Elephas maximus indicus: one gene and its partner. The protein of the gene in region 1 interacts with the protein of each later gene in a pairwise test. Links are inferred from orthologs where the notes say so. Each region holds a gene or a part of one and is shown on either strand. Other genes may lie near its edges.

Evidence for each region.
Region 2: the proteins of TSKS (region 1) and TSSK2 interact in binary tests that used the Homo sapiens proteins (3 or more experiments, as listed by UniProt). The link is inferred for Elephas maximus indicus from reciprocal best matches to the Homo sapiens genes TSKS and TSSK2.

What each region holds. Positions count from the first base shown.
Region 1 is NC_064829.1:100,183,685-100,192,320, forward strand, and holds the start of TSKS (testis-specific serine kinase substrate), read right to left. Parts: upstream 3,630-8,636; 5' UTR 3,584-3,629; coding exon 3,414-3,583; intron 2,829-3,413; coding exon 2,600-2,828; intron 1-2,599. UniProt on the Homo sapiens protein: May play a role in testicular physiology, most probably in the process of spermatogenesis or spermatid development.
Region 2 is NC_064840.1:34,803,524-34,810,189, reverse strand, and holds TSSK2 (testis-specific serine/threonine-protein kinase 2), read left to right. Parts: upstream 1-4,176; 5' UTR 4,177-4,228; coding exon 4,229-5,308; downstream 5,309-6,666.

The DNA of each region.
Region 1 (8,636 bases):
ATCAAACCCCCTTAACCTTGTTGTCCTGGCCCTTCACCTCTCTGTACCTCTGTTGTTTTTGTTTTTCAGCTTTACAAAAAAAAACCCTATTGCCATCAAGTTGATTCCGAGTCATAGCAACTCTATAGGTCAGAGTAGGACTGCCCATAGGGTTTCCAAGAAGCGGCTGGTGGACCATCTTTAAGCTGGGTAGTTATGCCACTTCCCTCACAGAAACTCTAAGAAAATGAGATCCTCACCCTGAGGGACTTAGCACTCTGCCCAGCACATGGTAGGTGCACAGTAAATGGGAAAGGAGACGTTAGGGGTTGAATTGTGTCCCCCCCAAAAAATATATTGAAGTCCTAACCCCTGGTACCTGTGAATGTGACCTCGTTTGGAAATAAACCCGTTGCTGTTGAGTTGATTCTGACTCATAGTGACCCTATAGGACAGAGTAGAACTGCCCCCATAGGGTTTTCCAAAGCTGTGATCTTTACGGGTTTGGTTTCCTTTGAATTTTCACAGTAGACTTCCACATCTTTCTCCAGCGGAGTGGCTAGTGGCTTCGAACCGCTGACCTTTTGGGTAGCAGCCGATTGCTTAGTCACTGTGCCAGCACTCTGAATTTTTAATCCAGGGATTCCAGTTCATGTCTCAGTGGCACCTGCTTACCTTTAATGAGCCCTGGTGGTGAAGTAGTTAAGTGCTTGGCGGCTAACTGAAAGGTAGGTGGTTTGAACCTACCAGCTGCTCCATGGGAGAAAGATGTGGCAGTCTGCTTCCGTAAAGATTTACAGCCCTGGAAACCCTATGAAGGAGTTCCGTCCTATAGGGTCACTATGAGTTGGAATCTTCTTCTCCAGCTGCGATTGTTTGTTTGTTTGTTTGGTTTGGTTTTTGGAACTAGGGTCTTTGCAGGTGTAATCAGTAAACATCATACTGGAGTAAAGGGGCCCATAATCCAATCTGAGTGGTGCCCTTATAAATGAGAAAATATATAGAGAGACAGAGGGAAGACAACCATGTGAAGATGCATCCATAAAGCCAAGGAACACCTGGGACTGCCAGAAGCTGAAAGAGCTAAGAAAGGATCTTCCTCTAGAGGCTTCAGAGAGAGTACCGATGCCCTAATTTGGGCCTCCAGCCTCCAGAACTGTGACATACTAAATTTCTGTTTTTATAAGCCACCCACTTGTAGTATTTTGTTAAGGTGGTCCTAGAAAACTAGTACAGGAGCCAAAATCCTAAGTTACTGTTCTCTTTCTCCTGCTCATGGACCCACACTGGCTCCCCAACGCCCTCGGGAGAAACGCCCATGTTTTCAGCCTGTGACGTGATGTCCCCTTCAACCTCATCTCCCTCCTTTCATTTCAGCCCCTGTCCATTTGCACATGCTGTTCCAGATAGCTGGAACACCCTCCTCTGTATTCTGCCTGGAGAATATCTTATCTTCAAAATCTAGCTTGTGTTTTGCCTTTTCAGGAAAGTTCTCCTTGACCATAGCCAGCTGGGCCAAGGCCTCCCTCCTCAAAGCTCCCACAGGGACCTCTGCTGCCCCCATTAGTTCAGGATGTCTCTCACCCCCTGCCTGGCTCCTAAGCCTGGCTCCCTCATGTACAAGCTATGTGGCCTTAGGTACAGTATTTAAACTTCTGTGCTCTCACTGTCTCCATCTGTAAAATGGGGATCAATAACAGCAGCAACGGTGATAGCCAGCACTTAGTCAGTGTTTCCCAGAGGCTGGCCGCTGTGCTACACGTTCAACATGGCTTATCCACAATTCGTCTTCATGGTACCCTCACTCATGAGGTGGGTATTGCTATCTCCAGAATTCTCATTTGTTCACTGCTCTATTTTCTGCTCCTAGGCCAGTGCCTGGTATCTCGTAGGGGTTTAGGAAATATTTGTGGGAAGAACAAAAGTATGAATCTCCATTTTACAGATGAGGAAACTGAGGCTCCTGGAAACTTAGAAAGTGCTCAGTAAATGCTAGTGAACCTTGTTATCCTCATGGTGATCGTGGTTATTGTTAGTGATTCTCAGGGTCCATGTCTGACTCTGTTCAGGGTCTGGCCCAGAGGACGCCTTGGTGGTGGGGAAGGAGAGAAAAGACAAGCTCAGGGACCAAGCTGAAGAGCTCCATGCTCCACTCAGGAATTCCCTAGGTCTTGCTGACCTCCCAGTTTTACCCAGAGAACTCCTACTCATCCTTCAAGGCCCAATTTTAGCACTGCCTCCTCCAGGAAGCTTTCCCTGATACCCCCAGCCTGGATGGAGGGCCCCTTCCATGGGATTCCCAGTGTCACCTTCATTATAGCATATATCATGTCTGCTGCCCCCCACCAGACTGGGAGCTCCCTGAGGGGTCCTGCCTGTGACCTCAGCCTTGCCTGGAACATGTGGAAATAACTGAATGAACTAAAAACAAAACTCCCAGGGCAGGCATGATTCGCCCAGGATGTCTGGTTGTCAGTGGAGGGAGGAGAAGGCCATTCCTTTGGGCCTTGAAGGGTGACAAGAACCTTCTCATTTCAAATCAAGAAGACCCTCCCCATCCTCAATGTTTGCCTACCACCAGTGTGAGGACCCTTGTCTTCCCCAGCCGGGGGACCCTCACCAGTATTTCCGTAATGTCTGGGTCATCTGGAGCCCAGGGTGGGGCAGGGGAGGCGGGGGGCCCGAGTAGTGCAGGAGGGCCACTGCTGTCTTCCGTGGTGGAATCTGTGCCTGATGAGTCGGTGGTCTCCATGGCAGCCAGGTTGAGCAGTGACACATTGGTGCAGGCCGAGGACCGTTTGAGGTTCAGACACCAGTGCATGGGCTCATGGGACATCCGGGGTTCCACCCTGGGGAGGAGAAACACGCACAAGGTCGGGATTTAGCCCCCAGGGCATGGCCCCTCCTGTCTCCCTGTCTCCACATTGTCTGCTTCCTCTGCCTCCAGCCTCCACTTACTTTCATTTTCTTCCCCACCACCTACTCCTTCTCCATCCCTGCAGCCTACTTTTTTTTTCTGCCTACTTTCTTCTTCTTTCTCTATCCTTGCTATCTACTTTCTTCTTCCTTCTCCATCCCCACTGGCTACTTTCTTCTTCCTTCTCCTTTACCCCTACCTACTTACTTTTTTCTTCATCCCCACTGCCTAATTTCTTCTCCTTTGCCCTTCCTCGCTGCCTATTTTCTTCTCCGTTCTCCAGTCCCCCCGGCCTTCTCCTGACTTTTCCCTCCCTCCCTCCATCCCCACTCCCTTCTTCCTCTCTACCTTCCATGCTCCTCATCCCTTCCTCCTTCCCCCTTTGCTCCACCACTGCCCTCTTGCCTGCCACTCCTCTGCCCGCTTCCCTTCCTCCAGGACCCACAGTGGGACTCCTGCTCTGTTGGAGACAACGCTGGGTGCTAGGACCGTCCCTGATAGCGTGCGACAAACCCACCCATGGAACGACACGGCCTTCTTTTTCTTTGTGATCCCCTTGGCTGGGCTGATCACCCCCCCAGGGGCCTCTGGGATCAGCTGAGAGCGACTTTCGACCCCCGCTGGGGGGTCCCCGGCTTCGTGGATCTCTTTGGACTGCCAGATTGTCTTCACCACCACGCTGGCCATGGTGTGTGGGGAGGCCCTGCTCCTGGGGGCTCCTTCCTCTGAGACTAACCACCTACTCTGACCACAGACCCACAGAATCCCCTGTCCCCCTTCAGCCTGCCTCACAAAGGATCCAACCACTGGGCCCCACAAAGGGGGGGACAGGGATAGGGAGTGACCCTGGCTCCTCAGATTCCCCCAGGGAACCTCAGTGAACTCTCCTGGGTCAAGAACTTCAGTTCTACTGGGAATGTGTCCCTCCCCTTCAGAAGTGTGATGTATTTACTCATTTTATCCCAGAATTTAGAATGGGTTGGTCCACTGGTTGAAGGAGTCCAGCTACCTTCTTCCTGAAAATAACCGTGGGGTCACTCAGTCCCCCTGTTATGGATTGAATTGTGTCCCCCAAAAATATGTGCTGTAAATCCTACTATGCCAGTGGTTATAATCCCATTTGGGAATGGATTTTCTTTGTTATGTTAGTGAGACAGTGTTAGAGTGTGCCTTGAGTCAATCTCTTCAATAAAAGGAGCAGTTAAGCAAGGAAAAAAGAAACACAGCTGGGGAAGACAGATGCCCTGCCACGTGAAGATCACCAAGAAGCCAAAGAACGCCAGGCTTACAGACACTGAAAAGAGACAAAGACTTTTCCCCGGAGCCGAGAGAGAAAGAATGCCTTCCCCTAGAGCTAGTGCCATGAATTCAGATTTCTAGCCTCCTAAACTGTGAGAAAATAAATTTGTTTGTTAAAGCCACCCACTTGTGGTATTTCTGCTATAGCAGCACTAGATAACTAGGACACCCCCACACTCATACTTGATTCTTCAGTAACATTTTCCTTCTTCATCCCCGCTGCCTACTTTCTTCTTCTTTCTCCATCCCCATTGCCTACTGTTTTCTGTGAATTTGGCACTTTCCTGGGAGCTGGGAGAAGGTGGTGAATGAGTAACGAGTCCCAGTCTCTGCCCTAGAAGATTCTATGAGAGTGTGTGGTGGTGATGAGAGGGGCAGGGTGGGAACAGAAAAATAAGTGAATGAGAAAATACCAGACATTGATAAAAAACGAAACAAACTCCATTGCTGTTGAGTCAGTTTCAACTCAGGGCAATCTCCTATGTTACAGAGTAGAACTGTACTCCATGGGGTTTTCTTGGCTGTAATCTTCAGGGAAGCAGATTGCCAGGCCTTTCTTCTGCAGTTCCACTGAGTGGCTTCGAACCGTCAACCTTTAGCTTAGCAGTTGTGACCCCCCAAAATATGTATCAACTTGGTTAGGCCATGATTCCCAGTATTATGTGATTGTGCACCATTTTGTCATTTGAGGAGATTTTCCTATGTGTTGTAAACCCCATCGCTATGATGTTAATAAAATGGATTAGTGGAAGTTATATTGATGGAACCTATATGATTAGATAGTGGCTCAAGCCAATCTCTTTTGAGATATAAGAGAGAGAAGTGAGCAGAGAGACATGGGAACTTCATACCACCATGAAAGCAGAGCCGGGAGTGTCCTTTGGACCCGGGGTGCCTGTGCAGGAAGCTCCGAGACCATGGGAAGATTGATGACAAGGACCTTCCTCCAGAGTTGACAGAAGGGAGAAAGCTTTCCTCTGGAGCTGGTGCCCTACATTTGGACTTCTAGCCTACGGGACTGTGAGAGAATAAATTTCTCTTTGTTAAAGCCAACCACTTCTGGTATTTCTGTTATAGCAGCACTAGATGACCAAGACAGTAGTCAAGCACAGTGTTTGCACCACCCAGGGACCTCAGGCATTGAGTGATATAAAAACCAGTTGTCTTCAAAAAAAAAAAAGTTGTCTTCAAGTGGGCGCTAACTCTGGGTGACCCCGTGTGTGTCAGAATAGAACTGTGCTACAGAGGGTTTTCAATGGCTAATTTTTTTTTGGAAGTACATTGCCAGGCTTTTCTTCTGAGGCACCTCTGGGTGGGCTCAAGCTTCCAACCATTCAGTTAGCAGCTGAGCACACTGACAGCACCACTCGGACTGATAAGTCATATAAATGGAATCAAAATCAAGTCATGGCAGGCGTGTGCATTTGTTAAAACTCACCAACTTGTGCACTTGAGATTTGAGGCTTTTATTGTGTGTGAATTTCACCTATCAAAAAAGAATCTAAGTTCTGATACATGCTGGGACATGGGTGAACCTTGAAAACATAATGCTGAGTGAAATCAGCCAGACACAAAAGGACAAATATTGTCTGACTCTACTCACATGAGGTATCTAGAATAGGTAAATGCACAGAGACAGGAGATTGGTGGCTACCAGGGACTGAGGGGAGGGGGAATGGGGAGTAAATGATTAATGGGTTGTGAGGGTTAATGTCATGTGTCTACTTGGCTAGGCTATGATTCTCAGTGGTTTGGCAGACACTATGTAACCACCTCCCATTTTGTGATCTTATGTGAGCAGCCAATCAGTTGGAAGAGGTGTTTCCTTGGGGGTGTGGCCTGCATTCATGATATGAAAACAAACGTTGGGGCAAAGCTCACAGTCTTTTGATCCTGCGTTCATCTTGTCATCTTCTGACCTCCGATTCTCGGAACGTGAGAAGCCTTCGGCCTGCCACCTGAACTGCAGATTTTGGGTTTATCAGCCCCTCCAACCACCTGAGTCAGAAGCCTCCAGCCTGCTGCCTGACCCACGGGTTTGTGAGCCATTTCACTGAAATATAGCGAGCCTCAGACATGGGTACAGAGTTTCCGATTGGGGTGATGAAAAAGTTTTGAAAACAGATAGTGGCGATGGTTGTACAACATTGTGGATGTGATTAATGCCTCTGGGTTGTACACTTAAAAAATGGTTAAAATGGCAAATTCTATGCTATATATATTTTACCACAATACAAAAAGAATCTAAACTATAATTAATGTTGAAGTATTTGGGGGTAACGTACTTCTTCTGCAATTTACTTGGAAAGCATTAAAAAAAAAAAGAAAAAAACACAGAGAATCCCTGATGGAGCAGGAGAAAAGTGGGATGCAGAACCCAAACTCTAGTAAAAAGACCAGACTTAATGATCTGACTGAGACTGGAGGGACCCCAGCGGTCATGGCCCCCGGATTCTCTATTAGCCCCAAACTGAAACCATTCCTTAACCCAGCACTTTAGACAAAGATTAGACTGGACTAGAGTGGGTTTGGGATAGGACATAAAATGATACTGGTGAAGAATGTGCTTCTTAGCTCAAGTAGACACGTGAGACTATGTGGGCAGCTCCTGTCTGGAGTCGAGATGAGAAGGCAGAGGGGGACAGGAGCTGGTTGAACGGACATGAGATATACAGGGTGGACGGGAGTGTGCTGTCACATTGTGGGGAGAACAACTAGGGTCACATAACACTGTGTATATAAGTTTTTGTACGAAAAACCAACTTGAATTATAAACTTTCACTTAAAGCACAATTAAAAAAAACAAGATGGCAAAAAATATACCCTGAAGTCTTCTTTAAACCAAACAATAGCTCAGCTTAACCAGCAAAGAATGTCTGCCTTTAGTGTTGTGCTGTTTTGAAGAACTAGCTATATGGGATCAAATTGACAAGAGCAACTTGAAAGGTTAGATAGGAAACTTAGGGGTCAGTGAGTTTATGTTAATGCAGGAATGTCTTAGTTATCTAGTGCTGCTATAACAGAAATAGCACAAATGGGTAACTGTAGCAAACTCATTTATTTTCTCACAGTTTAGAAGGCTGTAAGTCTGAATTCGGGGCACTGGCTATAGTGGAAGGCTTTCTGTTGGCTCTGGGGGAAGGTCCTGGTCTCTTCTCAGCTTCTCTTTCTCGTTTCCTTGGTGTGGTGCAGTGAACTACTTAATATGGCCGTTCTAGGCATCCGCCAACCAAAAGGTTGGCAGTTTGAATCCAGCAGCTGCTCCTTGGAAACCGTCTGGCGCAGTTCTACTCCGTCCTATAGGGTCGCTATAAGTCGGAATTGACTTGACGACAACGGGTAGGCCTAGCCTTTGTGATTCCCACACAATGACTGGCGAGACTATGCAAATAAGGTGTATGGAACCTGTGATGGTTATGTGTCACCTTGGCTGGAAAATAATTCTCAGTCATTTGGCAGTTATGTAATGAAGTAATTTAGAAGTTATGTAATGATGTAGTAATTCTCCATTTTGAAATCTGATATAATTATGCTCCATTTTGTGATGTGGTATAAATCCTAGCCTCTATGCCTATGGTTATAGTCCCATTTGGGAGTGAGTTGTCCCTTATGTTAACGAAAAAGAATTACTGTAGGATGTATCTTGAGTCAATGCCTTACTAGAGGGTATGACTCACGTCACCATCCTTACCCTTTTCATGACCAGTGGGATATACGGTTGTCCATCAACATTTTCTGCCTCTTATGTTCATTGGGAAGCTACTTTCCCACTGAGGGTGCATGCTGGCACAAGGCAGAAGCCTTTATGACTGTTTAAAACTGAAAAAAACAGGAGTGTGCCACAAATTACTGTTTCTACAGGGTATTGTGCATTGAGCTGTGTGCATTTTTGGTAGGAAAAAAACAGAAATTTTGTGGAGACATGTATGTCCCAGTGGGCTCAGAGGGGACTCTGGGGGTAGAATTAGTGGGGCAATGGGTGTCCCTCTGGATTCTAAGGGTAGGCTTGTGGGAGGGGGCAAGAAAACAAAATCCATACTACCTACCAAAAATTCAACAACACTCAGTGATTCAGCATGCTTCCATTAATGAAAACACGTGGTATCTACAAAAAATTCAAAGCAGAAAACAATTGCTTCTTGAAAGGGTTAACTCAGTCACCACTCTTTCCATTCTTATTCAAGTCACACTTTTTATCTTACAAGAGACAAAAGGAGAGAGAAGTGAGCAGAGAGGGTGGGACTCACTACCACCAAGAACAGCTAGGAGTGGAGTGTGTCCTTTGGACCGAGGATCCCTGTGCTGAGAACCTGCTAGACCCAGGAGACAGAGAGCTGTAACATCAGAGATGGCTCAAGACAGTGAGAAGTGGTGGCAGAGAAACAACAGCAGCAGAACTGGGAGTCCAGCAAAGATGACACAGTGGGCTTTCTGGCCCACA
Region 2 (6,666 bases), on another chromosome or scaffold:
AAGGAGGGATGCTGCTGCGAGATGTGTCCCTCAGTCACTATGTGGCCCTGACTACACCTCATTCCCCTCCAGGCCCCAATCTGTCCACAGGGGTGATGCCTCCCTGCCAGAGGTGGCAAGCAATACTGGCAAGGAGAGGAAAGGACCAGCATCCTTACCAAAGCAGCCTGGCACCTGCTGGCAGGGAAAGGGGCCCCCGGCGGCCACAGAGGGAATGGCCTGCACGTAGCACTGTGGCTGCAGTCCCACGCATCCTCACCTAGCCTGCCGTGCCCCTCTTCTAACTCTGTACCACACTCCAGACCACCTCTTCTGGACCTGTGGCTCTTGGCTGTCTCCTGAGGACAAGAGCCTTCACACAACTCTCCCGAATCTGCCATCCCCTATCTGCATCCCTATTTTGGGCAGACCGCAACCCAGGGGGCTGGGAAAAGAGGTAGGTCCACTCTGGGCCTGCCCTCTGCACCTGCCATATCCAGTCCACCTCTCTGCCTAGCCCCTCCCTCTCCCCACAGCCCCCTAGTCTCTTCCCACAGCAACCAGAGCCCACCTCCATCATCCTGCTCTCATTGCCCATGAAGGAGCCCAACGGCTAGCCCTGGAGGTCCTCACAGGTCTAACCTCCTGCTGTTTCCCCTCCCTCCTCTGCTGGCCTCCCAGCCCATCCCTCACCCCCACCCCGCCGTCGTCACACTGCGCACTGGTCTGGGCAGACATGCCCAGGCTGTGCTCAGGGGCAGAGACCCCGCCCTTTCTCATACCCTCCCGGTCTAACTCCTGCCCATCTCACCAGGATCCACAAGGCCTTCTGGGAGTCCCCAGAGGTACCTGGACACACGCATCCCAGGGCACAAGCACAAACCAGGCCCCAGGTAATACTGGAGGAGTCAGAGCCAGCCCAGACCATGCTACTCACCTCGTGGTCAAGCACACTGCACAGGTGGCAGCGGGGGTGGGGGCCTTCTGGAGGCCAACTTGGGGAAGTCCTGAGGAGGAGCTCATGAATGTCCTCCCTCTGTCACATCCGTGCAGTTCAGCCAAGAGGCAAGCCTGGGTGGGAGGGGCCGTGGGAAAGAGCACTCGTGTACCTCCTCGGCAACCAAATCCATGAGGTGGGCATCCAATGGCTGCCTTCACGGTGAGAAGACAGCTCGGGGGGCAGGTGGCCTGCCTGAAGTCACAAGCCTGGGGTGGGGCCTGTGACCAGCTCAACCCAGGGGCTCCACCCTCATCACCCCAGCCCCACGAGGCTGCCAGTGGGGGAAGGTCATTGCTGAGGGCAGGTGCTCCAGCCTCTCAGCCCCTTTTCAGCCCTGCAGCTTGCCAGGCAGCTTGTGTTTTCTGATCTGTCACCGTGCCGTTCTCCCAGCCAGCACCCAGCTCTCAACAATGCCGAGCTGTCCCACTAGCCCAGGAGAAGAGGGGGTTAGACCCCTTCAGTGACCCCCAAAGACCCTCAACATGGCCCTCCATGGCCTGTCCGAGCTCCCATCAGCCCCTGCACACTCTTGCCACACTGCTTCCTCAGCCTTCAGCTGCCCCCCACCCTTCATTTGACGAATTCCCCTGACAGTAGTCTTCTCCAGCCTCCCTAAGTCCAGTCCCGAAGCTCTACGTCCTCACAGCACCGTGGGCATCTGCCACAGAACAGCCACCATTGTCAATTCACACTTGGTGTGATAACGAGCCATGCAAATCTCCTTCCGCACCTCTGGGCTCCCTGAAGGCCAGGGCCTGCCTCTAGTTTATCAGCATCCCCAGCACCTAGAACAGACTCTCAAGTATTTGTAGAACGAATAAGTACATGGGTACCCACTTTATAGAGGAAACAAGCTCAGGGAAGTGGCTTTCGTGGTGTCAAAGGACCCAGGTCCGTAGGTCTCCAACCCAGAGGACTTTAGCACTAGGAATAACCCTGGAGGGCCCCAGGTCCAATCTCAGCCCCTCAAACACACACACCTGAGTCCCCACCCTGCCTGGAAGGCTCAAGGATGAGGAGGCTCCCTCCTCCCAGAGCTCCCTGCTCCATGCCCACAGCTCCCTTGGTGATGCTGATCCTGGGCAGAGTCAAAGTGCAAGGGATGGAACTCACAAGAAAGGGAGGAGTCAGTGTGCTCAGCCAAGAAGGCAGACACACAGAAGGACTCCCCGGAGCATTTAGGAGCATTGGAGGGATGGGGAGTAAACTCCTGTGCCACATGCTCCCGGATCCAGCCTGCAAATCCACACAGTCAGCCCCTTCTGAGTCCCGCAGGAGTGAAGTTCTGGTAGTTTTAGCCGAAGGGGGTGCCCAGGAGAAAGGAAATGTACTGAGCTACAACTATTAACAATGGATGCTCTTGAGAAAGAGTGGGCCCAGGGGAGAAGGGCTCAACAGGGACAGGGGGCTGTAAGCAGGGGATCACCACTCTGCTCCCACCTGACATCTCACCAGGATCCACAAGGCCTTCTGGAAGTCCCCAGCAGGACCTGGACACACGCATCTCAGGGCCCAAGCCCAAGCCAGGCCCCAGGTAATACTGGAGGAGTCAGAGCCAGCCCAGACCATGCTACTCACCTCGCGGTCTGCCCTGCCCCTGGAGCTCTTCCACACTAACCTCTGGACAGAAAGCTCCTGGTCAGGTCACCAGACAGGTCCACACGGCCATACTTCTGGCCAAGATAACATCGGCTGGCACCCCTGCCTCTTGTCAACCCAGAAGAAGCTCCTCCACGTCCCTGCTCCAATGTCACTTCCTCTTGGGAACCTTTCCTGGCCAGCCACCTAGAAGCAGGAACACTGAGCACACGGCAGGCCTGCCTGGGCACCTCAGCCACAGCTGCCAGACAGAGCTCCTGAGCCAAGGAGAGCAAGTGCTCCAGACGTGTGGGCTCAGGGTGCTCCTGACAGACGAGAAGCAAACATCGGAGCTTCCAAAGGACTTAAGGAGACACATAAGGATGGTGCAAAGCAAAAGCCGATGCACATATCCTGAGCAAGCACCTGGGTGAGGAGCGGGGCCTGATGCATGGTGAGGAGTCCAGCAGGCAAAAATACTCCCACTCTTCATGAAGGTCCCAAGTGACAGAGTTCAGGCCCCCCTCCTCACCCAGGTGCTTGCTCTTAACAGTCAATGGTTGGGGTGCCACCCCGCCACACACACACCCAAGCCCTGCCAGAGGCCCCACCCACTCACTGACCCAGGCAGCCCCATTCAGCCTCGTCACCTCTTACCTGGTTAAAGGCACTGGCCTCTAAACATACCCTAAAGCCCACTATCTACGCTCGCTGCCAATGACCGTCTTAAAATGCGACTTGGGTCACGGCCCCTTCCGTCCTGTGCCGTGCAACAGCTGCCTGTCACCCAGGACAAAAGCCCTCCACAAACTGGCCACAACTCACCTTCTCTTCCACTTCCCACACAGCCATCAGGATGCCCTACCTCCTCCTCTGGCTGGCCAAAGCCTTTCCCTTCCTCAGGCTGGCCCCACTCCTTGAAACACAGGTCTGTCTGCCCTGGGCTACAGTACACACAGCTGGCCATTGCAGCATCCCTGCGCCCTGCCCACCCTGCCACCCACTCACACACTCCTGCTCACTGGAGCAGTGACTCCCTCTACCTACCTCCCAACCCCAAAAAGCTGCAGCTCCTGTTCCCAAACATGGAGCTGCTCCTAGCCACCAGGCTAGATGTCGCCACCTGGCTGGGCCAGGACAGTCCCTCCCAGGCGTCACTGGCTTTAGAGACATACTTTAGAGACAATTTTCTTCACCCCCACAAGAAAGCTACAGAAAACCACCCCTACTGGAACCAGGACCAATGCAGGTTCAGCCCCCACAACCAGGGGTGTGAACTAGGCCCCGGCCACCCCCCTTCAGGCCTGACGCTGAAGGCATTCCTTGTATTGCCCACCCTGGCAGGAAAGGCACAGCAAAGGAGGTGAAGGGAGGGTCACCACAGTCCTGGGTGCCAACTTCCTCCCCACAGGTGGGCAGCGGGTGCTCTTGCCAGGCCGACCTGGCTTTGCATTCTAGGGGCCCATTCACCCCACCTTAGTCCCCACTCCCAGCAGCCTGGCTTTATGACTTCATTTGCTGAAGTCACCCAGGGACAATGCTGAGCATTCCACCCTCCAACTCCAAGCCCAGCCCACTCAAGCACTCCCCACAGTGTAAATGAGGACAATGTCTGCTGGCCCACGTGGGGAGGGGATGTAGAGGGCAGCGGCACCGGCCGCTCCTGGCACCATGGACGATGCCGCAGTCCTAAGGAAGAAGGGTTACATCGTGGGCATCAATCTGGGCAAGGGCTCCTATGCAAAAGTCAAATCTGCCTACTCCGAGCGCCTCAAGTTCAATGTGGCAGTCAAGATCATTGACCGCAAGAAAACACCCACTGACTTTGTGGAGAGATTCCTTCCTCGGGAGATGGACATCCTGGCAACCGTCAACCACCGCTCCATCATCAAAACCTACGAGATCTTCGAGACTTCCGATGGGAGGATCTACATCGTCATGGAGCTTGGCGTCCAGGGCGACCTCCTGGAGTTCATCAAGTGCCGGGGAGCCCTGCATGAGGATGTGGCACGCAAGATGTTCCGCCAGCTCTCTTCGGCTGTCAAGTACTGCCATGACCTGGATGTTGTCCACCGAGACCTTAAGTGTGAGAACCTTCTCCTCGACAAGGACTTCAACATCAAGCTGTCTGACTTCGGCTTCTCCAAACGCTGCCTGCGGGACAGCAGCGGGCGCATCCTCCTCAGCAAGACCTTCTGTGGGTCTGCGGCATATGCAGCCCCCGAGGTGCTACAGGGCATCCCCTACCAGCCCAAGGTGTATGACATCTGGAGCCTGGGTGTGATCCTCTACATCATGGTCTGCGGCTCCATGCCCTACGATGACTCTGACATAAAGAAGATGCTGCGCATCCAGAAGGAGCACCGCGTGGACTTCCCCCGCTCCAAGCACCTGACGAATGAGTGCAAGGACCTCATCTACCGCATCCTGCAGCCAGACGTCAACCGACGGCTGCACATTGATGAGATCCTCAGCCATGCTTGGCTGCAGCCCCCCAAGCCCAAAGCCATGTCTTCCAGTTCCTTGAAAAGGGAGGGTGAGGGCAAGTACCGGACTGAGTGCAAACTGGACACCCGGCCAGGCTCGCGGCCTGACCACCGGCCCGACCACAAGCTGGGGGCCAAAACCCAGCACCGGCTGCTGGTGGTGCCTGAGAACGAGGACAGCAGGATGGAGGACCGGCTGGCCGAGGCCTCCAGGGGCAAAGACCATCACCCTTCTGGAGCCGAGGTGGGGAAAGCAAGCACCTAGCAGTAGTGAGGGCCCCGGGTGGCTGGTGAGTGGTTGGCACTCACGTAAACTAAGTAGCCAGCTAGGAGCTGAAGAAGGCACAGGTGCAAGGAACAAGTAAAATCCGTCAATTAAACCACTATTTTGATTATGTTCTATTAGCTTTCTTCCACTCAGTAGCAAAGACATTAACTACTGACCACCAAATAAACCACAAAGTATATAAAGCTGCAACAGTGCCCAGTGAGGAGTCTTTTTCTCTAGGACTCAGCCAGCCCCGTCCCTGCGCGTGGGGGGTTCCGGTATAGGGACACAGGAAGATTCATCGCGAGGCCTGTGGGCACAGACCCCACATCTGTCTCCCTCTGACTTGCTCCCAACCCTACTGCCAACACAGGCTGGGATAGGTCCATGTCTGGCCACCTCAGATGCAATGCAGCTCACTTGACCCCACCACACTCTCATACTATCCTTTCACAGCATCTTCCTCTCCTCCCACCCCTGGGGGTGCCCTGCTAGGACCGGTCCTCTACACCCTCCCCAACCTCTCGCTTGCCCTGTGAGCTCTGACTTCCCCAGTGTGTCTGTCCAGCCCCGCGCAAGGCCCTAAGCAATGGTTCACGGGCCAGTTTCTGCTTTGTTCCCCACATGACCCCAGCACATGCCCCACACTAGCCAACTGCTCAAGGTGTTCTGGCTGCAATTCCTGACCCTGTGGAGGGCCCTGTCTGGAGAATACCCCCTTCTCTATCTGACTCATGCCCACCTCTGCCTCCCCACTTCCTGGGGGCTCCCTGAGGCCAAAGCTCACCCTTTCCTAAGGGGAAAAAGCACCGAGAGCCCCACCTTCCAGACCCCTAGGCAGTCCCAGCCCCACCACACCCCGCCCCCATCCCTTGGTGGTAGAGGGCATGCTGGGGGCTCAGCCCCACCAGGAGCTTGCAGGAACTGTCAGGAGCACAGGTCAGTGCTGCCCTAGGCAGCGGGTGTCAGGTCCTGGGTTGGGCCTCCAGAGAATATCAAGGACTTATGGGAGGGAGTGGCCAGATGGAGGAGGCCCGGGTGCAGGAAGCTTAGAGAAGATTGCCAGGTGCAGCCTGAACAGACTCCCAAGTGTGCTTCCCTGAGTACCCTAGGCTCCGGAGCCCCCACTGTCCAGGAGGCACAACCTGTGTTCCCCACTTAAGGCCTGAAGAACCCTGATTCGACAGCCTTGGTCCCAACTCTGCCCCAAAGGCATGGCCCTCTCTACCTTGGCTGTAGAGCAGGCTCACAGGACCAGTGGCTGGAGGTGTCCCATGGCTGAGGCATCGATATCCTCATACTTCTGGGCAAGTGCTGTGGCCAGGGGTACACTCAGCCCTCCCAGGTCTACGGGG